3 linked regions of the Mus musculus genome follow. Each later gene encodes a partner of the first gene's protein in a complex. Links are inferred from orthologs where the notes say so. Each region holds a gene or a part of one and is shown in the gene's direction. Other genes may lie near its edges. The genes, in order: Meaf6, Jade2 and Kat6b.

Region 1 (7,824 bases):
AACTGATGAACCCTCTTTCCGTGTTCTTTTTAATTAAAAGGGTTAATTTTGTGTGTTTGGGTGTTTTGCCTGCATATCTGTCTGCATCTCATGTATCCCTGGCACCCTGGGAGGCTAGAGAGGGAGTCGGGTCCCCTGCACTGTAGTGACACAAAATTGTGAGTCACTGTGTGGGTCCTGAGAATTGAACCTGAGACCCCTGGAAGAGCAGCCAGTTCTCTTTAACTTTTAACCTACCTCTCAAAGGCTCCATCTGTGGTTTTCAGTTTTCTGCCCTGATGCTGAGAATCAAACTGTTAAAACTTAAAACCTTGGGCTCAGCAGTTAAGAACACTGACTTCTTCCAGAGGTCCTGAGTTCAATTTCCAGCAACCACAGGTGGGTCACAACCATCTGTAATGGGATCCGATGCCCTCATCTGGTGTGTCTGAAGACAGTGACAGTGTACATACATACATAAAATCAACAAATCTTAAAAAAAAAAAAAAAAATTCAAAACCTCTAACTTAGTTCCAGAGGATCCAACACCCTCTCTTGACCTCTAGCGGCACTGCAAGCATGTGCAGAGACATGTATGTAGGCAAAACACCCATACACATGAAAATTAATCAATATTTAAAATAAGGAAAACTGCCAAGGAGGTCAGGTGCGATGGATTAGCAGGTAAAGCACTCACTGTGAATGAAGCCGGAGGAGTGTAATCGACAGAACCCAGCTGGTAGAAGGAACCAACTGACCCCTGCAAATCGGCCTGTCTTTCACACCTGTGCCCGGGCGTGCTAAGCACTGAACACAAGTAAGTGTTAGAAAGTACATTTAGAATTGGCAAATTAAAACCCAGTAAAATAAGGAAGAGAAGCACGTATAGAGAGGTGTCCACTGAATTCAGCAATGCACAAAAAGAAACAAGATGGCCAAGAAATTTATTCCTGACATTCAAAGCCGCTACATCTGAAAGTCCATCCACGTTCTCCACCATGTTATGTTTAAAGAGGGGCTGGAGCAATGGCTACGCTGGCAGGAGACACAGGTTGCATTCCTAGCCCCGACATGCTGGCTGACAACTGTGACTCCAGCTCTCTCTCTGGCTTCCACTGGTACCATGGTACAGACACTTGCAGACAAAACAGAAAAGAAAAAGTCTGAAAAAATATATATATATATTTAAAAAGCTAAGGATGGCTGGGCATGGTGGTGCACGCCTTTAATCCCAGCACTTGGGAGGCAGAGGCAGGTGGATTTCTGAGTTCGAGGCCAGCCTGGTCTACAGAGTGAGTTCCAGGACAGCCAGGGCTACACAGAGAAACCCTGTCTAAAAAAAAAAAAAAAAAAAAAAAAAAAAAAAAAAAAAAAAAAGCTAAGGATGCTGAGCCACAAAGGCGACATGTTTACCATGACCACCACCCTAAGGCTTAGGGGCCATTTCAGACGGCCAGAGCCAGAGGTCGGGGAGGAATGAGGTGAGCAGTGCCTTCTCCACATGGACAGGTCAGGGCTGCTGTATTCAGGAGCCCAGCAGCTGTAGCTGCTTACAAAAGACTGGCCTAAGATCAAGCCAGTCATCTTGGCAGCATGTAGGAGAGAGAGGTGCCCAAGCCTCCATCCCTAGCTAAGAAGCTATCAACAGTGGGTGACTCCTGTGGGGGAAGAGTCAGCTTTAAGGTGTGGGCCCTGGTAGGTTGATCACTTTCCATTGGATGATCTCACACCTATAAATATATGGGCATCTCAAATTGGGACTCAGTCATTAAAACGGGGCAGGGGGAAAAGCTGGAGAGAGGATGGATCAGAGCTCTCCCCCAGGACCCTGGTTCAATCTCCAGCACCCACATGGCAGCTTACAACTATTCCTCCAGTCCCAGGAGGATCTGATGTCTTCTGGTCTTCTTGGGAATTGCATGCATATGGTACAGAGACATACATGCAGGCAAAACACTCATAGACATAAAAAGAAAATTTCCAAGGTCTGATTGTTATTTTTTTGAGCCTAGGCTAGCCTCAAATTCTCTGTGTAGTTGAGGCTCATCTTGATTTTTTCCCCCTCAAAACAGCTGTCCTGTCTGTCTTCGAGTCCCCTGAGTGCTGGGAATAAAGACATGTGCCACCATGCCTGGCCCTGGGAGGTTCTTCTGTGGGCCAGGCTGGCAGGAAAGGAAGAGATGCTAGACTCAAATTCAGGGATTTGTGCAAGCTTGGGCTTAGGCAGATATTTTACCAACTGAGTTTCATCTACAGCCTTGACTTTCTTTTTTGGGGGGTGGTGGTGAAACTGTCTTATATAGTCTTACTGGCCCAAATACTATGTAGTACCTTGACCTTCCTGCTTCTTTTACCGCGGCCTCTTGGGTGCTAGAATTATAGGCATGTACTACTGGAGAGGAACAAGAGATTAGTGAAGAGGTTTGTGAGAGAGAAAATTAGGCAAGAGGAGTTTTAGAAAATTGAGAATTTCTCATACCTGTTGAACAATATACATCTAGGGCATAGAAACCCAAGGACATCCACCCATGGGGGCAAAGAACGCCACCTAAACTACGAGTGACGTTGCTGAGCACTGAGAATGCAGAGGTGGGCTCAGGGTGTACCTGTAGAGTGCTTGCTTCGTCTGTCCTGAGATCCATCCCCAGCACCTATTAACAGCGGGCATGCTCAACACATGGAATCCCAGCAGTGGGAAGGCAGAGGCAGGACGATAAACTCACGGTCTGTTTCTGTTCAATACCAGCCTGGATACAGTTCTGGATCTGAAGATAGAAGCTAATTCTTTCATAATCCTTCCCCTCCGGCAAACCACGTACAACAGGAGATCTGCTTGCCTGTGCTAAACCCAGCAAGATGTTGGTTTGGGGATCTTCTCTGCAACCCGGTTGGTGGGCGGAACCTTGCTCAGGTTTTCCACCTGCAGTTGGGTGGTGTTGCAAGGACCTCGTCTGCCGGGAGACATATGGAATACTCAACAGGCCTATGCTGCAGCTGGGTTCTCGATGTAGTGAATGTCTGTGGGTGTCTGTTAAGCTCAGAGGCCCACAGTGGAGCAGCAAGGAAGGTCCCACACGTACAAGCGCCTCTCCGCGCCGGCTTTCGCGCGCTGAGCCGGCCAGCTTCCCCGGAAGCCGCGCGCGCAGGCGCGGTGTGGGGGGTCGCGCCCCCTGGCGGCCAGCGGCGACAGTGCGCAGGGTCCGCCTACTGGTCGCGCGCCGCCGCCTCCGCCGCCGCTTGAGCCCAACATGGCGATGCACAACAAGACGGCGCCGCCGCAGATCCCAGACACCCGGCGGGAGCTGGCCGAGCTGGTTAAGCGGAAGCAGGAGCTGGCGGTGAGTGGCCGAGGCCTGGACGCCGTCCCCACTTGGCCTCGCAGGCAGCTCCGGAGGCGAGGACGGCGGGCAGCCAGGGTCTGGGCGCTCTGGGCGGCCGGGCGCGGCGCGGTTCCCTGCGGCGGCGCGGTTCCCGGCCTGCGCTCAGTGGGGCGGGGCGGGGCGGTGAGGGCGCGGGAAGGGCGAGAGGCAGGAGGCGGGGACGACGCTCAGGTCGGGTTAGCGGTTGGAAAGGAGGCGGCTAGACCCCGGCCTGGAGAAGATGCACGATGGATTCCATGGGCGGCGCGTTTCAATGGCCGGGGAATGTGGTGTATTTGAGGATGCCAAGGAACGGGGCTGGCGGGAGACCCAAGACGCAGCCTAGGGAATTTGGATTGGTGACGCGCACCAGGAGCCGCCGGCACCCTGCTGACTGCCCTGTAGGCTCCCGCCTTTTACGGCGAGCATCCGGGAGGCAAAGCTCACCTGAAGCTGCCCTTCCAGGTTTCCATAGCAACCGGCATCCACTGCGGGCGGCCCTTCCAGAGCTAGCAGGGAGGAAGCAGTTGATGTAGAAGAGATGCTTTTGAAAAGCTGTTCACCCTTCTCGCTGCTGGTAGCAACACATTTAGTGAGTGAGAATGGAGACAGCTCACGGTCTGTCTCATCCCTGCTCGTGACAGCTAGGTTTTGCCTCTGAAGTAGATGCAAAATCTTGCATGTGTGTGCATTTTCTGAGGATAGACTATACATTTCATTCTATTTATAAAGGGGTCCATCACCCCTACACTTCCACAGAAATGGTTCATTGTGGGTAAGCTTGACTTTACAAGTCTGTGACGGAATTTCAGTTTGCTTAATGCTTGTTTTTCCCTGTCCCTGTTTTCATCACCTAGGAAACACTTGCAAACTTGGAGAGACAGATATATGCTTTTGAAGGAAGCTACCTGGAAGACACTCAGATGTATGGCAATATTATCCGTGGCTGGGATCGGTATTTGACCAATCAAAAGTGAGTGTCAAAATCTAGTAGTATTAGCTGAGCACTGGTGGTGCACGCCTTTAATCCCAGCACTTGGGAAGCAGAGGCAGGTAGATTTCTGAGTTCGAGGCCAGCCTGGTCAACAGAGTAAGTTCCAGGACAGCCAGGGCTATACAGAGAAACCCTGTCTGGAAGAAAAAAAAATCTAATAGTATCTCTCCATTTTATCCTCTACTAATATTTGGCTGCAGGATTTTTGTTTTGATTTAAAACATGGTCTTACTATGTAGCCCTGGTTAGCCTGGAACTCACTAAGTAAAGCAGGCTGGCCTCGGATTCACAGATCACATAGCTCTTTCTCCCTCTGACTTCTGACTGATAGATTTAAAGGTATGGACTGTCATGTCCAGCTTGGGACATTTGCTTTTGGCATTTACTCTGCAAGGAGATGGTAGAGCCGTAGTGTGGAATGGGGTCTAAGCTTGAACTTGTACTCTGACGGCTCACGGAGAAACCTTGGGGAAGCCAGTATTTGTGATGAAAGAAAATAGGGCCCATGGTGCAGGGATGTGTGGGTGTAAGTGAAGTACAGCCTGTGACCGAACTGTCTTCCACATTTTCATCAGCCACGCTGTGCCATTACGATCTTTGTTCTACCTCCAAGTTCATTGTTACCACTGTCAGCTCAGTCATGCGATTGTATAAAAATGCCTACGCTTGTGAGGAATTTTTCAAATCTGTAGGAAAACTGAGATGAGAATGTGCATGACCAGTTAGTGTTTTTCCCATGTATTCATGAGTTGCTAACTCACTGTGGGTGCATGCTCTCTCTGAAGTACGAAAACTTCTCTGTGTGCTTAAGAACCTTTTGTTTGGAAATAATTTACAGATGGCGATAGAAAGCTGTACAAACAATAGACATGGCTTGTGTGTGCTTACGTAGTTTTCTCTGATGGTTACGTTTTACGTAACTATAGAGTATCATCAAAATCAGGAAATCAAGATTGGCTGTGTGGGGGTGGGGGTGGGGGTGGGTATGGCATTTTAACGTATGTGTATAACTACAGGATGTGAAACCAGGCCCAGGAGATATTGCTCGGTGAGTAAAGGCGCTTGGTGTACAAGCCTGATGACCGGAGCTCAGTTCCCAGAACCTGTGTTAAAAGGCACAACTGGCAACAGGAGAGATGGCTCAGCAGTTAAGAGCACACACTGCTCTGGCAGAGGACAGGAGTTCGACTCCCAGCATCACTGTTAGGTGCCTTACAGCTACCTGTAACGGAGCCCCAGGGGATTAGACTCTGTCTACTGAACTTTTGGACCATCCCCCACCCCCACCCCCACCCCTGCCATTTAACACACATGTGTAAATGCACGTCTGGAATTTTAGCATATGTGGTGGGATTTGGGGACAGGAGAATCGCTCACTTGGGAAGTTTGCAGGACAGCCTGAACTATGTAGTGCTGTCCAAATAACCAGATTGCCTCTGTCTCAACAAGGTAGAAAGCAAGGGCCACTGGTGGAAAGCTGCCCTCTGATTAGTGTGTGTATAAAGATGCAGACCCATTCCGCCGTCACAGGGTCTCCTCCCTGCTCCTCCTCTGTGGTTACATTGCTGTTTGCCCGTGCTTTCTCTCCCTGCTAACCATTGAAGAGTTAGGCGCTTACACCACGAATCTCTGCCTCTAAATATATTATCAGTTACTTCCTGAGAAGAGCAAGGCATCTCTGCATATAACTCGGATGCTTATAGCTTAAACATTAACACGGATTCCTTCAGATTCCCTTGGTTGGCCCCACAATGCTTTGCTACTCTTTTTTTGATCCTGGATCCAGTGGCTTTCGGCAGTTATGTCTCATTAATATTTTGTTGTTGTTTGTTTGTTTGTTTGGAGACAGGGTTTCTCTGTGTAGACCAGGCTGGCTTCTGACTCACAGAGATCCACATGGCTCTGCCTCCCGAGTGCTGGGACTGTAGGTGAATGTCCTCGTGGCCTGCAGGCTCCTGCTTTAAGGGCTCTGTTCTTTGTCCATTGCTGCAGGGGCTACAGCGCAGGGCGCTGAGCATGCTGGGCAAGTGCTCTGCTGCTGAGCTGAACCCCCAGTCTGAGTCCCAGCTTGTGACCCTCTGGTTCTGTACCTCTGTCTTATTGGGTGACACGTTGTTGGGTGGTCCTATGATAGCTCTGCTGTAAAAGTTCATTTCTTTTTTTTTAAGAATTATTTATTTTATGTATGTGAGTACACTGTAGCTGTCTTCAGACACACCAGAAGAGGGCATCAGACTCCATTACAGATGGTTGTGAGCCACCGTGTGGTTGCTGGGATTTGAACTCGGGACCTTCGCAAGAGCAGTCGCTGCTCTTAACCGCTGAGCCATCTCTCCAGCCCAGGTTCATTTCTTCATATTGGCTAGACAGTTTAGTGAGTACAGGTGCCTGTGGACAAATCCGACTACCAGAGCTCTGCTCTGCCTCTTCTGTGCTGGGATTAAAGGCACGCAGCACCCCACACAGCTGTACGCACTTTAAACAATTTACTTATTTATTTTATGTATATAGGTATTGTGCCTGTGTGTATGTCTGTGTACCACGTGTGGCCTAGTGCCCTTGGAGGCCAGAGGATAACATCTGATCCCTTGGGACTGGAGTTACAGACAATTGTAAGCCTCCATGTAGGTGCTGAGAATCAAACCTGGGTCCTCTGCAAGAGCAGCCAGTGCTTTTAACTGCTGAGCCATCTCTCCAGCCCTCATTTTATTTTATTTTTTCATAGTCATATTTTGATTGAAAAAATTTCTTGCTTGTCAGAGTGGCACACATTTCAATCCTGGCACTCGGGAGATAGAGGCTCATATACTTCTATATGAGTTTAAGGTCTGGTCTGCATATATAATTCTAGGCCAGCCTCAAGACTACATAGTGAGATCCTGTCTCAAAACAACAACAACAACAAAGTCATTTATCATACGTGTCTGTAGAATGTGTATTGGGGTATGTGTGTGCCACCATGTGGCTCAGAGGACAGCTTTGTGGATTGGTCCTTTCTTTCACCTTTACCTGGGCTGAGGGCTGAATTGGGATTGTCCAGCTTTGCAGCAAGCACTCATTACCCTCTTGTCAGCCCCTGCACTAGTCCCTTTTGACAGTAAGCATTATTGTAAATGCACACTAACACAGAGTGGGGAGCAGGACTGGGTTGGGCAGGCCAGGCTACCGCTTACGTGATAGTGCTGCTTGGTGTCCTCATGCCAGGCAAGACATAGCTGTGTCCCTGGGGCTCCCACACACAATCAAAGAAATACACTTGACAGTGCTTATAAAGCATCTAAAATCATCTCACCTCCTAGAGTGGGAGGCATCACCGTTTGTAGGCATTTGACATTAAGTTCCGGGCATCAGAGGCATTCCTGAGTTTGAACGTGGTTAGAAGAAGAATGGCCAGATGGCTCAGCAGGTAAAGGTGCTTTCTGCGAAGCTGGACCACCCGAGTTCATTTGCTGGAGGTAGCAGGAGAGAACTCACTCCACAAGTGTCCTATAG
Region 2 (7,724 bases), on another chromosome or scaffold:
CGTCAGCTGTGCCCTGTGGATTCCTGAGGTGTGTAGCTTTCAGGGAGTAAAACATGGTGGAGGGAGTGTGTCGAGAGCTCAGGTTGGGCCTGGCAGAATTTATGTGACAGAATATAGGAAAAGAAGGAGCTCTTGGGTTCCCATGAAGACTTAGAAAGACAGTGTCTTAGTTAGGGTTTTACCATGACCAAGGCAACTCTTACAAGGACAACATTTCATTGGGGCTGACTTACAGGCTCAGAGGTTCAGTTCATTATCATCAAGGCAGGAACATGGCAGCATCCAGGCAGGCATGGCGCAGGAGGAGCTGAGAGTTCTACATCTTCATCTGAAGGCTGCTAGCGGAATAGGAATACTCCCTTCCAGGCAGCTAGGACCATGGTCTACAAGGCCACACCTACTCCTACAGGGCCACACCTACTCCTACAGGGCCACACTTTCTAATAGTACCACTTCCTGGGCTAAGCATATATAAACCATCACAAACCGGTCTAGGAACAACTGGGAACATTGTCTGTGGACCTTGTCATAGGTCTGGTTCCCAACTCTGAGGCACTGGGAAATTCAGGAGGGACAATTTGAGGTCTAGACCTTAGTCATGCAAAGGGGTTGGGGTGGAGGCTCAGATTATGGACTCCATCAAACAAAGTTTTGGTTAAAATCAGAATGAAACCAGCCTTGGTGATGTATGCCTGTAAATCCAGCACTTGAGAGATGGGAGTAGAAGATCAGGAGTTCAAGGCCATCATCAGCTTGAATTTGATGCTAGCCTGGGCTATATAACTCTGTCACAAAATCAAGCAAAGGGCAGATGATCCCCTAGTTTAGAAGGTAACAGTAGTAGGACGTTGGCTAATGGGCCTGCTCCTGTGGCTGCAGAGGTGGCCTGTGGCTGGGGTCATATGGAAGGGCCATGGACAGCAGGCTGGGTCCACAGTAGCCATCTTCACTGAGGCTGTGGTCAGCTCTTCTATATTGAGGTGCCTGCCCAGTGCTGTCCGTGCCTAGAAGCAACCTAGGAGACCCTGCCAGCATGTGACTCTTCCCTTCCTAGTTCTCTGTCCTCCTAGGGCCTACCTTGCCATTTCTGGAATAGTGGTTATTTGTGTCAGATTTTCATCTTGAAGGCCCTTTCTCCTGGTTACTGCAGGGAGATCGACCTATTGAGGACTGTACGCTTGGGGGCCAGCAAGGCGGCTCAGCAGGTTAAAGGTGCTTGCTGCTAAGCTTGACAATCTGAGTTCGATCCCCAGGACCTACATAGTGGAAAGGGAGGACTTACCCCTGCAAGTTGTCCTCTCACCTCCACACCTGCGCTGTGGCATACAAGAACTCACACGTGTACACATGCACCTCCTTGCCTCAAAGTCTACAGTTCCAGGTGCATGCTTCTCTTAGCCAGCTACATTCTTCTATATGCCCACTCTGGGGCAGGTTCCAAGTGAGCAGGTACTTGATTAGGGCAGGATCGGGGACTCAGACCATCAGCTCTGCATGTGTGGAGACGAGGAGGACTTGGGACTTGTGAGTTGAATGCACAGCTCTGTCTGCTCACTGTCTGGCTATGACTGACAGGATCCCACCTGGGGACTGAGGCAGCTGTCTGTATTCTCCCCAGGTCAGCATTGGCTGTCCAGAGAAGATGGAGCCCATTACCAAGATCTCGCATATTCCGGCCAGCCGCTGGGCCCTGTCCTGCAGCCTCTGCAAGGAGTGCACAGGTACCTGCATCCAGGTATGTGGCCTGCTTCCTTCTGCTGGTACCAGACAGATGCACTAAGGTACCTAAAATACCAGTAGTTACCACCATATAGCCCCTGTGGCTGCATCACTGATGGACCTGAGAGGCTTAGGACAAGGTTCGTGTGGGAGCTTCACCCACTAGGAAGGTACATTCATATGTCCCCAGGCTTCCAAGGAATGGGGACAGACCCCACCCATGGAATACTAAGAATTGGCTTTCCCCGTGAGAGCAAGTGTCTCTGGGCTTAATGATTCATTGACCTTTTAGACTGTAACCCTGACATTCGAGAGGAATGAAATCTGAACTCCTCTCCAGCTCGGCAAATGGGCCTTCCTGACCAATACAGGGGCTTACTGGTCTACCTGGGATGGCGGCTCCCATCTTGCTGATCGTCGGGATCACCCGAGCCATTCAAACCACACGAAGCTTTTAGCACCCATGGCTCTGATTGAGATGTGAAGAGAGCTGTGTGCTTGCTTTTCTCACACAGCAGGGTTTGCCGGTGCTTCTGGTCTCAGCTGTGGGGTGGAAGCCCTCCTTTGTCCCTCCCATCTCCCCAAGAACACAGTTGGCCTTGCTAGTATGCCTCCACCCCGTTTATCCGACCTCCAGAAGGGCTCTGGATGCTGTAGCAATGGAACCTGATGTTGGGGACACTGTTGATGAACTGTTTCCAGCGGTCCAGTCCACATCTAGGGCTGGGAGGAATGGTCGGTCCAGCCTTTAGCTGCTTAGATAAGAGAAGGCAGGATCCAACTGCTCTCAGAGAATAGCACCAGGCAGACTCCTGGCTTGGATGACAATACAGTAGAGGAGACTGTGACCCTCTTCAGGCTCCCCCACCCAAACCCCCTCTAATCCCAAAGTCATTTGTCCACGGACAACACGCATCTTGTCCCCACGAGGGGCGCGTCATCTCCTTGTGATTCTTGGCTCCTTCAGTATGTCTGGGATTTGCTCTGTCACCTTTCCCAGGTGTCCCATGGCTCCTTTAACACTGTGTGATGTGGGAGCCTGTGCCATTTTATGTAGTGTCTCCCCAGCATTGTGTGTGCTCCTCGGTGCCTTAGATGGCCCTTATGTTGTCCCCTGGCTCTCCTTTAATGCCTGACGTTGCCCTTCCTCTCTCTCTCTCTCTCCAGTGTTCCATGCCTTCCTGCATCACAGCATTCCACGTTACGTGCGCCTTTGACCGAGGCCTGGAAATGCGGACTATATTAGCTGACAATGACGAGGTCAAGTTCAAGTCACTTTGCCAGGAGCACAGTGACGGGGGCCCTCGGAGTGAGCCTACTTCTGAGCCTGTGGAGCCCAGCCAGGCCGTTGAGGATCTGGAAAAGGTGACCTTACGCAAGCAGCGGCTGCAGCAGCTGGAAGAAAACTTCTATGAGCTAGTGGAGCCAGCTGAGGTGGCTGAACGGCTAGACCTGGCTGAGGCACTGGTGGACTTCATCTACCAGTACTGGAAGTTGAAGCGGAGAGCTAATGCCAACCAGCCGCTGTTGACGCCCAAGACTGACGAGGTGGACAACCTGGCCCAACAGGAACAGGATGTCCTCTATCGACGCCTGAAGCTTTTCACCCACCTGCGGCAGGACCTGGAGAGGGTAAGTAGCCCTGGTGGGTCAGGGGCCTTACCTCTTACTCCATGTGCCCTGCCCAGTTTGAGCCTTTGGTAGGCTCCAAAGACTCAGGGGGCTACCACAGACCCCTCCAAGGACAGGTGCCACCCATCTGAACATCTAGAAAGAGGTGGGAGAGCCTACCTGGAACTCTGTGAAGTCTCTTGGGAGCTTTAGACAGAGGAAATCCTGGTGGCCGGGGGTGGGGGGGGGGAGGGTTGTTCTGGCCAGGCATGTTTGTGCTGGCCAGAACTGGGAGGGCAGGGGTGGGTGGTGAGTGAGACTCCCATGGCCTGCCAGGCAGAGAACAGGGATTGGGAGAGACTCCCATGGCCTGCCAGGCAGAGAACAGGGATTGGGACAGATGTCACACACTTGGCATTGCCCCACAGAGGCATTCCAGGCCTGGCCTGGGTGACTGAGCCACACACACTTCCGTCTTTACTCTAGGAGGCAGGACAGAATTGTGGCTTGTGGTATATTTGGGGCTGAGGGAGATGGACATGTGTGTGTTGGGGGAAGGAGGAGGTTTCTAGAAGACTGAAGAAGAAAGCTATCAAAGATAGCAATAAGACCCAGCTCCAGGGGTCCAGCCTCAGTCCCTCTGGGGGCTACATGTTGGTAACTTTGACTAACAATGCAAAGGACCAAGTGCTCTTATGGGGGTGGGGCAGGGGTTCTCTGCAAGGCCCCATAGTGGCAGTGGCCTGGCCAGCAGGCCCAGTCTCTAACCATGGCCCAGGGCCAATAGCTGAGAGTAGTCCACCTTTGCCTGGGCACCAGGCCAGCTTGGTCCTGCTCCTGCATTGAAGGGACAGGGCAGGGCTGGAGTTAGAGGCCTTGGGTGGTCTGGCCCTGTACTGATTCTGGGCCCTTTCCCCTAATGGGTGACTTTCTGTTTCCTTTTCCTTGAACTGGAAGTAAGGATCCAACTGACCTTGGGGTCAGCGTTAGGGGGTCATACAAGGACAGTGGCCTCCATCTCTTGGAGTCACACAAGGATAGTGGCTTCCACTGTTAGTTGTGTTGTTTGAAGCTACCTTCTCACCTGGTAGCCCAGGCTGGCCTCACCCATTCCTCCCAAGTACTAGGATGATAAGGATCTGAGCCCGCCCCGCCCCTTCCTTACTTCAGATTGGTATTTTTATTACTATTGGCCCCATAAGCAGTTCAGCTCATAGAAGAGAGGTGAAGCCTTATATTCTGAGAGTGGGCTCCACAGAGCTGCAAGGCCTGGTGCTCCAGCACGGGCATCTTCTCTGATGGGTCAGGAGCAGAATTGCCACCAGCAGAAAATCAATTTTACGGCCAACCCAAAAGATACACTCTCCTACAAATTTCAGCCGCAGGCCTGGACCTTGGCAGGCAGCGTGGATGGGCACGGCCACCACAGCGTCCAGAGTTATTCACGGCTGACAGAAAGATTGCAGTAGTGGACATCAGCCTGCAGATGCCAGCTCATGTCCCCTAGCAACCGCTGACTATTAGGCCCTGCAGGACATGATTGTGGTTCTTGCTGGAAGAGTTTATTTCAGTGACTGAATGGACCTTGTGTGAGACCCAAGAGGGTGGCCGGAGCTCTCGGTCATCGGAGATGAGTATGTGGTAGCCTCACCCCTGCGTCCCTCCAAGGATGGAGAGGAACCATGGGAAACAGACCCTTTCCTTTTCTGATCTCGCTGTTTGCCTTGGGGTCCCTGGCCAAAATCCTTAACAGCACTTGGCTGGTGACACAGTCACTCTGTCCACCCAGTCAGTCAGCACTCCATTCTCCAGGTCTTTGTCTTCATTCAGTCATAATCAAGCATGGGCCCACCCCAACCCGAGATGACTTCATCTTAGCTACTTTTATCTTCTGAGACCTTATGTCCCATTCTGAGGTTCCCAGCAGGAAATCTTGCGGATTTCCACCCATGTAGAGGCCATCGAGGCCCTGGAAGGTGTAAGTTTGCCAGGAAGTGGTCTGATTTGCATTTCAAGAGCATTGCTGAGGGATTGTTTTACTGTCCCTGTGAAAGGATGGGGGATGGGGAAGGGTGGAACCAGGCTGTGAAGAGAGCTGGTATCTGCCACAAGGAGAGACTGGTGCAAATGTACTGATAGGTCAGTTGTGGGTGTGGACCAAGAGAACAGGTAGTGGGGATGAGTCCAGTTTTCAGCCATAAGTCTTCTACAACTCCCCTTTGCCCGGAGGGTGCACCCCCAGGGCCTGCTTACACCCCCCCCCACCCCTGCTGGTTTTGCCTCTCCTTTCTTTTTCCAGTACACTGTCACCACCTCCTGCTGGGCTAGGGTGTCCCGGTTTAGGCCATCTGCTCCAGGGAGTTCTTCCTGCCTTGCTGGGTGGCAGGCAATAGGAAGAAAGAGATGCTGGCCCCTATACAAATTTATTCCAGAATGGAGGAAGGCACAGAGCCAGGCTAAAGTGCAGGAGGAGAGGGGTGTGAAGAAGAGGTTGATTGGAAAGTGGGTCATGGTAAGAGGTGCACAGGCTGCTACCAGTGGTTCAAACCCAGGGCTGTCCCTGGAGGAAGAGGCTGGACATGGGAATTGATAAAGCTGGAGTCAGCAATGAGTGAACCCTGACGGCCTGGTGTTGCCAGTGCAGGTGAGGAGTACACACACACACACACACGCATGGAATGTCACAGCAGAGTACATGTCACACGGGATGTCATGGCAGAGTCCATATTGAATCCCTCCTGTGATGCTGTCCGCCGCACTGGACCTCCTAGGATCTCCTTCTCAAGTAGTCTCAGAAGGGAAAGGAAGGTCACACCTGATAAAGATCTGCTCATACTACCTCGAGCTAGGAAGGCCGGAGTCATAGGAAGGAGAGGCAGAGGTTCAACTCAGAAATCTGCCTGCCTCTGCCTGCCAAGTGCTGGGATTAAAGGCGTGCGCCACCACACCTGGCTGGAAGGAGAAGCTCTTAATTAAAGGTAACTCAGGCAGCTAAGTAAGACCTGAAGACCACCTGGCAACTGTGTAAAGGGAGGCCTGAGTGGGAATAGGATCCAGGCTGAGCAGCTATGGTCAGTAACTGTCCCTGTTTCTGGAAAACTCCACATGAGCCCAAAGGTGATACCAGATGGAGGGAGCGTCTCCAGGGCTGAAGCCTGGAAGTATGTGAGAGAGCAGTCCTTAGGGGATAGAGGAACCCTGAACAGGCAGTGACAGGTCCACTTCATATCCTGCCAGCCAACCTGAAGAATGTGTGCCCGTCCTCTGGGCTAAGCCAGATGACTTCAAAGCCTACTGTAGGGACTCTAACCAGCTGGCCCAAGGGAGTCAGGGGCTGCTGTCCTTTATAAAGTCAGGCATCATGTTGCTGTGGATATGGGAGCATTGGCCCAGGGGGCAAGGCCCTGGCTCAGGTCCCGGGATAGCAGGTAGACTTGGAAAAGCTATTTTGCCAGATTGTGTTCATTTGAAAGTACAGTGATACCTGTGCCTTGGGACATGCCTGCGTTTTGCCATGATGGTTGTATCTGCTGCAGAGTTGCTTTGCTGGGAAAGGCGGGTGTTAGGCAGGAAGAGAGGGTTGCCAGCTCGAGACCAGATACTCCCTGCATGCTCAGGGTTTCGGGGTGAATTCTCAATTGTCTTAAGGCAGAGGGGAGGCAGCAGCAGTGGCTGGTGTTCAAAACACTGCTTTTTTTCCCAGCGGCGAGGCCCCTTGAGATGGCCAGCAGTAGGTGAGGTGAGAAATCTCTCCTGTGTCCCTTCAGGTAAGGAACCTGTGCTACATGGTGACAAGACGGGAGAGAACGAAACACACCATCTGTAAACTTCAGGAGCAGATATTCCATCTACAGATGAAACTTATTGAGCAAGACCTTTGCAGAGGTAGGCACGGCGCCCCCTGCTGGGAAGATGTGTCTATGCGGCCTGGAAGGGCCTGGGACCAGAACCCTTCAGTCAGGTTCCTTCTCACGGACATAACAGATCCACGTGGGAACCAGTGAAGGCCGTGGTTGTGCTGATAGGCGAGAAAACAGAGTTTGGACTGTGGCTTTCAAGCCTCTACCCTCAGGGGCATCACTGGGATAGCCCAGTTCCATCCACAGTGGCTTAGCTTGCACAAGGACAGGTGCAGACCACAGTCTTCCTGACTCTGCTGGGCTCAAGACAGGTCAGAGCTGGCCAGCTCCCCTGAACCCTGGTAAGCGTAGGGTTCAGTCTTCAGGAAGGCAGCTGTGTGGAGATGTGGCTGTGTCGCCCTCTCTGTGGTGTCATGTGATGAAACTCAGGCTCTGATCAGATGTGTCTTCTATCCTTTAGGTATAACATGCATTTAGCAGATCGAGAAACCAGGAGCAAAGGTGTTGACATTGGCTTAATTGGATAGTTATGGA
Region 3 (7,754 bases), on another chromosome or scaffold:
ATTGAGCTATTTCACTCAGCAGAGACTTGAGATACCACAGATAAGAAAGAGGTTTAAGAGGGAGCAGTGAGTATCTATCTGGCTGCGTCTCTGTTATCCTCTCAGTCCTACTTATCTGAAGAGGCAGATTTATCAAAGGACAAGTAACCCTCCAGGGGAATAGCAGTGGGAAAACTGTTCCCCTTTCTTGCCACACCCGTTGGATAATTTTGTTAGGAAAAGACATTACACTATATTTCTGCTTTCCGAGTTTTCTACATCAACAAAGATTTAGACAAATGTCAATCTATTTTTTTGCTGTCTCCCTTGCTCTCAGGGTGGCTGGGGCTTGAACCATGAGCATTAAGCAAGTTCTTTAAAGAGTCTGATTACTGTGATGCTCTGGAAATTCTTGTGCACAGTGAGCCCAAGGGCCTGGGTTTCATCCTTAGCACTGTGACAGCTCTAAGTGTCAGGCCTTCCTTTTAGTGGCAAAAGGGATGAGTGAAGGCTGGCCATCGTAGACTTGACTTACTGGTTTTAGTTGCATCTTTAACATACTTGGTTCGAATATAGAGATCTAGAGTTTTAAACCTTGTTTTTAAGACATGGTTTATTTTATTGCTCCAGATAAAATGCAGTCTGAGGGTTGGGCGTGGTGGTTTACTATCTGAAATTCTATCAATTGGGAGACTGGGTAGGAGGACTGCTGTGAGTTTGAGGCCAAATGGTCTACAGAGCAAGACCTTGTCTCAAGAAAATAAATGTCACCCCAAGGGACCAAAATGTAACTTAAAAAATAAAGTGCATCTGGGCAGACTATCAGAAATGCAACAAAGCAAAACAGAAGGGCTAATGAGTCAGCCAGTATCCTTAAATTTACTTTGTAACTTCTTGGAGAAAATTCCTACCTAGCATGTGTATTATGGGGGGAAAAGCACACCTTATAAATGCCCTTCTTGGAAACAATCTAAATGAACAGGACTGAGTTATGGACTAATGGCTTGTGAAAACTCTCCTTGAGCAAGTTATTGAAGATCCTAACTGAAACAGACAGGAAGAGACTTAGAAAACCCAACGAGGGTGGGGTTGGGGGCGGCATTTGCTTCATCAGTAATGTAATTCAAAAGTTGCCAAGCCGATCAGTGGCTGAGTTTACCTTGTTTCGTTTCCTTGGGCTGAGTCTGAGAGTGTCCGGATTTAACCTAAAGAGGTTTGTGTTTTAAAAACTAACAACCAAGTAATAAAACACCTATAAAAGAGGTTTATAATGGAACTGGTGACAGTTCTGAGTGTAGTGTTACAAGTCTTCTGCTCTCCCCTCTTTTTTTTTTTTTAATCTGCTCTCCCCTCTTTTTTTTTTAATCTTTCATTCACCTCTGCCTTTTGTCCTGGCTTCTTCCTCACCTTGCTGCCAAGCTCAGAAGCAGAGGAAGCTCGCACACCAGAGTAGCCTTTGTGCATTTCTGTCTGCATGTGACAGGGCTGCTGCTGCTGCTAAGATAAGAACTGAGATTATTGGGTCTAACAAAGTACCTACATAGTTGAACAGTAGTTTCTAACGGGGAGTTGAACTCTGCTGCAGGAGTGGCAGTGGCATGAAAATGAGTCATTCAGGGCAGGGAGACTGAAATTCCTGCTCTTTGACATCCTACATCTCCTCATCAGGGGCCCCAAGAACGTCCTGATTCAAGGACAGAACTTCAGGCAACAGGTGGTTTTTCACCCCGGCCACCACACGGGGAAACTTGGCTTTCCCAGGGACATAGGTTTGTTTCCCTTCTTCCCAAAGGTCTGGGAAGAGAAACTGTTCAAACTCTGTTAGGAGGAGCCTTTTCTCAAGTCTACCTTTCTCATACTCTCAAGTATCTCTTACCAGCATCCCACCCAACTCTGGGAAGAGCAGGACGTTTTCTCCAGAGTCCGGAGGGCGCTGCAAGGCATGTGGGCACCTTTAGAGTAGCCTTGCCTGGGCGGCCAGAGGATCCCCCAGCCTCCCTCGTATGGGCCTCAGGAACTCCGGGGGCCCAGGGGAAGCCTGGAAAACCGAACTTCGCCATCAGCTTTCCTTACAGCGCTGGTTGGAGACGAGGGAAGGGCCCCCCAGCGGTCGCCCCCCGCCCAACCCCAATGTTATCCAGCTGCACAGTCCAGGAAGCACCCAGAACGCAGCTCCGAGCTCGCCAGCCTCTCCCGCAGGCCGGGAGAGGGCATCCTGAGGGGCAGCTTCCCTCTCCAGCCTGCGTCTGACATCCCCACTCCCACCCGAGGATGCCTGTCCGCAGTCGCTGAATGTCACTGCTCCCTCTTCCTCCTGATCAGGGTAGAGACAGCTCCTGAGGCATCCCCCACCCCAAAACTGCCGCGGTCGCCCGAGGGTACAAGACCCGGGAGAAGGACGAAGTTTGGGGCCCACGGCGGCGGGAGGGGGGGCGCGTTTAAGAAGACCGCACCTCAGTCCCAGACCTGGCGGACACACTCCCCACCCCAAAACAGCCCAGGCGTCCCCATCCTTTCGGACACCGGCATCCCCGCCCTCCCCTGAGGGCGGTGAGCGGAGCCCCCCGGGGCGGAGGCAGGTACCCCCGGGGCGGAGACTGGGGCGGGCGGGGTCCGGGCTGCGCCCCCGGCCGGGCCAGGCGGGCTAGCGGGCGGCGCGGGGGGAGCGGGGCTGGGCGGCGCTGCCTCGGGCTCTGTGCGCTGCAGCCCGGAGCCGAGGAGGAGGAGGCGGAGGAGGAGAAGGAGGCGGCGGCGGTGGGTCCCGGGCGGGGGGAGCGCGGCGCTGCGGACCCGGGCGGCTGGCAAAGGACGAGGCGGAGGCTGAGGAAGGCAGCGGGGAGACCCGGTCTGCAGCAACAAAGGGCAGCAAGCGATTGGCCGGGCTGGAGGCGAGGTTAGCCGGGGACCGGGGTGGCCGGAGGCAGCGGCGAATAGTGCACGTGCTTGCAGACACGGGCGAGTGCGGAGCCGGGGGTGCACACCCGGTGGGTAGGGGGCTTGCTCCCCCTCCGTATGGGATGGCGAAGAGGCTGCAGTGAGATCGTTCCGCCTGCACCCGGCCTGAGGCTGGCAGGGTAGGGGGTATGTGAAGGGGGTAGGGTGCAAGCCAGGGGGCGGGCGAGTAGTCGCCCGGGACAGGACAGGAGAGAGGGTGGAGGAGGGGGCTGGATGGAACGCTCCGGGCGGCGCGCCCGTCCGCGCGCTCCTCGGCGGGAGCAGGCGACTGAGAACCTCGAATTTTAACTTCGCGTGCCCGCCCGCGCGCGCCCGCCTGCGCCCACCCCTAAATCCTGCGGCCGCCGCCAGCGATCAGCTCTCACACAAACTTTAGCTGCGGGCTAGGGGCTTTGGGGTTGAGTGGGGGAGGGGAGAGGAAAAAAGGCTTCTGATTGGCGTCGTGTACAGCCAATAAGGCCAAGCGCCTCTCCTGCGCCTAGATCCAATCCATTTCTAGAGGTAGAGGGGGCGGGTAGGTGGAAGTAGAGGTGGCGCGGTGTCTGTGAGAGAGAAAAAGGGCTGGACCAATAGGTGCCCGGAAAAGGCGGGCCCCGCGGTCTGTTGATTGGTACTGGCAGTCGACCCTCCCTCGGGGTGGTGCCGGAGGTGGGGGGGGGGAAATGATGGGTCGAGAGGTGTGTCTATGTGGAGGCGAGATGACCGGCAGGAACTTGCCCCAATGGGGGGCAGAGTGTTTAGCGAGCGGGTGACGGACAGACCCGTAGGCCAACGGTTGGCCCTAAGTGTTCGTGCTCTCGTCCAATGGAACGGCGCCGGGGCGGGGCCGCGTCTTGGGTTTAATGAGACTCCATTGGGCTGTAATCAGTGTCATGTCGGATTCATGTCAACGACAACAACAGGGGGACACAAAATGGCGGCGGCTTAGCTCCTACCCCTGGCGGCGGCGGCAGCGGTGGCGGGCGCTACGGCACCTCCTCCAGGCGGCAGCCGTAGCTTCTTTCTCAGGCAGATTCAGCGCCCCCGGCAGGCGCGGTGGTGGTGGCGCGCGGCCAGGTCTGTCACCCACCCCGCGCGTTCCCAGGGGGAGGAGACTAGGCGGGCGGGGGACCGACGGGGGGGTGGCCTGGGACCCTCGACGCCCCTCCCACAGGCCCCTGCGCGAGGGTCACCGCGGGGCCGCTCGGGGTCAGGCTGCCCCTGAGCGTGACGGTAGGGGGCGGGGGAGAGGAGGGAGGAGGAATAAGCTCCGCCCCTGGCCGAGCCTACGGGGCAAGGGGCGGGGCTCAGGAATGGAAGGGCGGGGCAAAGTCGGGAGGGGCGGGGCAGAGGGATTCTAAGGCTTGGGCTGGGAGGGGATTTCTGTGCAAGAGTGAACTGGTAGGATGGATGGAGGGGTCGGACGAGGGCGTGGGCAAGATTAAAAGAACGGGAGATGAGATGGGAAACGGGAGGTGTAGAAACAGGTGTAGAAGGGGGTGTAGGGAGGGGCGAAATTTTGGTGGAAGTGGGAAGGGTACCTAGGACTGTGTGAGGGCTGGTGAAGTGCTGCAGACTGGCGAGATTGCCGTTAACTGGGGACACACTAAGGATGAATTTGGGTGTGGTAAATGAGAGAGTATTGCTGAGTTGGTGTTGGTTCGTCTTGGGGATGGGTTCATGAGGCGGGTACAGTTTCTTTGGTGGAAGAATCAGGCTGAATCCTCATGTTGGCATAGGATAGTGGTTTGCTGGCCCATGGTAAATGAAACATTAAGAAAACAGAAGGAAGGATGGATTAGTTAAGTTTGGGAGATTTTCTAAGGTAGCAGAAGAGACTTTAATGAGCAGGGAATGGAGAGAGGCTGCTTGTAATTTGCAGCAGTATATTAGAACATCTCATCAGGACAGGTGATTCAAAGTTAGGGGAAGGCTGTGGCTGTGAACGAGGGCAGCACTGAGCAATAGGTCTGGGTGCTATAATTTGATGGACTGTGCCCCCAGTCTTCATTGAGCCAAGAAAGGTTATGGAGACTTTAATTTTGATGGCTGGGGTTGTTTGGAGTAAACTTCAAGCCTAGTCTTGAAGGTGTGGCAGGAACAGGGAGAGCATAGAGTGTCCCTAGGAAGAGACATGGATGCTTGCTACCTTGGGCAAGAACATTTGGTATTTTTGAGTTTGGTAGGACTTTGGTTTGGGCACAGTGCAGGGAGTAATGGGACCTGGCAGGGTAAAGGCAGAAGAAGGGCAAATTAGTGACCTGCACCATGGAGGAGTTTGAACAATTGCAGTTGGGAGAAAGAATGTTCATGTGAGAGTAGTGGAAGTTATGAAGGAGCAGTGATAAGGAATTACAGTTGTCAGCAATAGCTAGAGACCCAGTGAACTTGGGGTGGAGATACCAGGAAATTCAAGGGAAAGAGTATGCACAGATTTGTATGGGCAAGAGGTAGAAGTAGCGCATGGGACTTTAGTTGTGTTAGTTCTTTGTACTCCAGTAGTGTGTGCTTGTGCACACACATACATGCAGATGTATGCAAACACATTTTGTGCATTTGATGCATACAAGTGTGCACATCCAGAGGCCAGGGCACGACATAGAATGTCTTCCTCTATCTCTCCCTGCCATATTGCCTTGACATAAAGTCTCTTACGAAGTGGTAGTTGGCCATTTTTGCTAGGCTGGCCGGTCTGCTGTCGAGCTCCTGGAGGCTGCCTGTCTTCACCTGCTCTTGCTGGGACTCCAGGCAGTCTAAACCACGCTCAGCGTTCACCTGGGTGCTGGAGATCCAAACGCAGGACCTCCTGCTTTCCATGCTGTGCCCGCCAAGCCCTCTATCTCTCCAGCCCCAGCGAAGTGGGTGTTTGTAGAAAGTACATTCTTCCTCATACTAGTATACCCTTCATTTCCTGATGCAACTCTAAAATACACTTGACTGCTTGCTTATTAGAAATTTATTATACATGTAGCAGAGTGAATGTGAGCTGTTGTTTTTAAGGAGTAATGGGTAAGGAGCCTGTAATCCTTGGTCATCTTTGGCTTTTGAGGTCAGCCTAGGTAGTAGTTAAAACCCTGTGTTTAAGTAAGCGAAGAAAAACTGAGGAAGGAAAGTTTTAACTTAAAGGAAGAATTTAGGTGACAGGGTCAGCTGAACTTTGACCTTTCGGCTGTACCTGGGCCTCTGGGTGGATGCTGATGATTGTGTTGTGTTAAGGACTAATGAACTACTTGTGGAAACAGGTGGACGCTATCAGAGGTAAGACCTGTGAATAGAAAGTAAACAGGATGGGTGAAGCAGATATGACACTTATTTATCTATTTATTTATAGACAGGGCTTCTTTCTCAGTAGCTTTACAGTCCTGAACAGTCTGACCAACTCACAGAGATTGATTGCCTCTTCCTCCTCAATGCTGGGATTAAAGGTGTGTGCCACCACCGCTGGGCTCTAACAAATGATTATAACATTACTTTTTTCTTTTTTAACAGTTATTGAGTGTGTGTGCGTGCATATGCTCGTGTGTGTATATGTTCATGTGTGTGCTTGTATGAATGCCCACACACATGTGCACTGGTGCAACTTTGGAGTTCTGATTTCTTCACCACGTGGGTTCCAAGGTATCAAACTCAGATTTATCACTAAGTGCATTTACTTATGTGAGCCCTGTCACTGCACCTTTCTTAGACATTTCATTTCCCTGTTAGAAAAGTTTTAACCAAGTGTCTGGCTTGTAGTTTCTAAGCTAGTTTTGTGAGTAATTGGCCTTTGATTTCCACATACAGAGCAATAGCTACATTTGTATCTAGAAAAGTCAGTTGGTTTGGGGAGACGTAGGAAGGTGGGTTGTAGTAAGAATAGTAAACTTTCGATAGAAGATTTAGGGCAGAGGGACATAATTTTCATGGTCTCTTCTGTTGTTGCTGAGTATTTTAGTTGTTTTTGGTTTGCTTGAAGCATCTCAACATACATATCGTGATGCACATGTGTACACATTTCTTGAACGTAGAGTTGCATTGTTGGTTTATAGGCAGGGCCGCCTCATGCTCTGCTCTATATCTGTTGTCTCAGCATAATCAACCTTTTTGGCTTTGAATGAAGAGCTGTGTGGTTACCCTTGCTAGAGCACTAGAGTGTGTATTTGTCGTACTGCTCACTGGTTAAACTTTCCCAAGAACACTCGCTCCTATTGCTTCTCTTTCCTTTCCAACTCTCAGACTTGTTAACTTAAAATTTTAGCCTGTCTAAATTTTGAGTAGTAAGCAGGTTGAGAAGCTCTTCATGTATTTGTCATTCAGCTTTTCTCGATGGTAAAGTTCCCCCTCTGTCCCATCTTTTCATTTGGAACTGAGTCTTTTATTACTACTTAGAAGTTTGTTTGTTTGTTTGTTTTCGAGACAGGGTTTCTCTGTGTAGCCCTGGCTGTCCTGGAACTTATTTTGTAGATCAGGCTGGCCTCGAACTCAGAAATCCAACTGCCTCTGCTTCCCAAGCGCTGGGATTAAAGGCGTGCGCCACCACGTCCGGCTAGAAGTTCTTTTTTTAAAAATGCTGTTCTTTAACCATTTGTTTACACCGTGTGTGTGTGTGTGTGTGTGTGTGTGTGTGTATGCATGTGTGTGGGCTCATGCACCAAGACTTGGGTGAAAGTCAGAGGACAACTTTTCCCTCCACAGTATAGGTCCCTGGGATGGAACTCAAGTTTAGCAGGTTTGATGGCAAGTACCTTTAATGCTTTGCCACCATGTTGACCTGGAAGCTACTGTGACTACAAGCTCTCTGTCCTGTGTGTATGTTACAAATACATTTTCTACCCTCCGGCTTTCCTTTTCATTCTCTTTAT

The links.
Region 2: Meaf6 (region 1) and Jade2 share a complex: the UniProt entries of both Homo sapiens proteins name them as parts of the HBO1 complex. The link is inferred for Mus musculus from reciprocal best matches to the Homo sapiens genes MEAF6 and JADE2.
Region 3: Meaf6 (region 1) and Kat6b share a complex: the UniProt entries of both Homo sapiens proteins name them as parts of the MOZ/MORF complex. The link is inferred for Mus musculus from reciprocal best matches to the Homo sapiens genes MEAF6 and KAT6B.

What each region holds. Positions count from the first base shown.
Region 1 is NC_000070.6:125,081,950-125,089,773, forward strand, and holds the start of Meaf6 (chromatin modification-related protein MEAF6), read left to right. Parts: upstream 1-3,211; 5' UTR 3,212-3,227; coding exon 3,228-3,317; intron 3,318-4,195; coding exon 4,196-4,311; intron 4,312-7,824.
Region 2 is NC_000077.6:51,820,570-51,828,293, reverse strand, and holds part of Jade2 (E3 ubiquitin-protein ligase Jade-2), read left to right. Parts: coding exon 1-28; intron 29-1,618; coding exon 1,619-1,735; intron 1,736-2,886; coding exon 2,887-3,351; intron 3,352-7,097; coding exon 7,098-7,215; intron 7,216-7,724. UniProt on the Homo sapiens protein: Scaffold subunit of some HBO1 complexes, which have a histone H4 acetyltransferase activity. Acts as an E3 ubiquitin-protein ligase mediating the ubiquitination and subsequent proteasomal degradation of target protein histone demethylase KDM1A.
Region 3 is NC_000080.6:21,497,089-21,504,842, forward strand, and holds the start of Kat6b (histone acetyltransferase KAT6B), read left to right. Parts: upstream 1-2,696; 5' UTR 2,697-2,872; intron 2,873-2,901; exon of another isoform or gene 2,902-3,060; intron 3,061-3,365; exon of another isoform or gene 3,366-3,990; intron 3,991-7,754. UniProt on the Homo sapiens protein: Histone acetyltransferase which may be involved in both positive and negative regulation of transcription. Required for RUNX2-dependent transcriptional activation. May be involved in cerebral cortex development.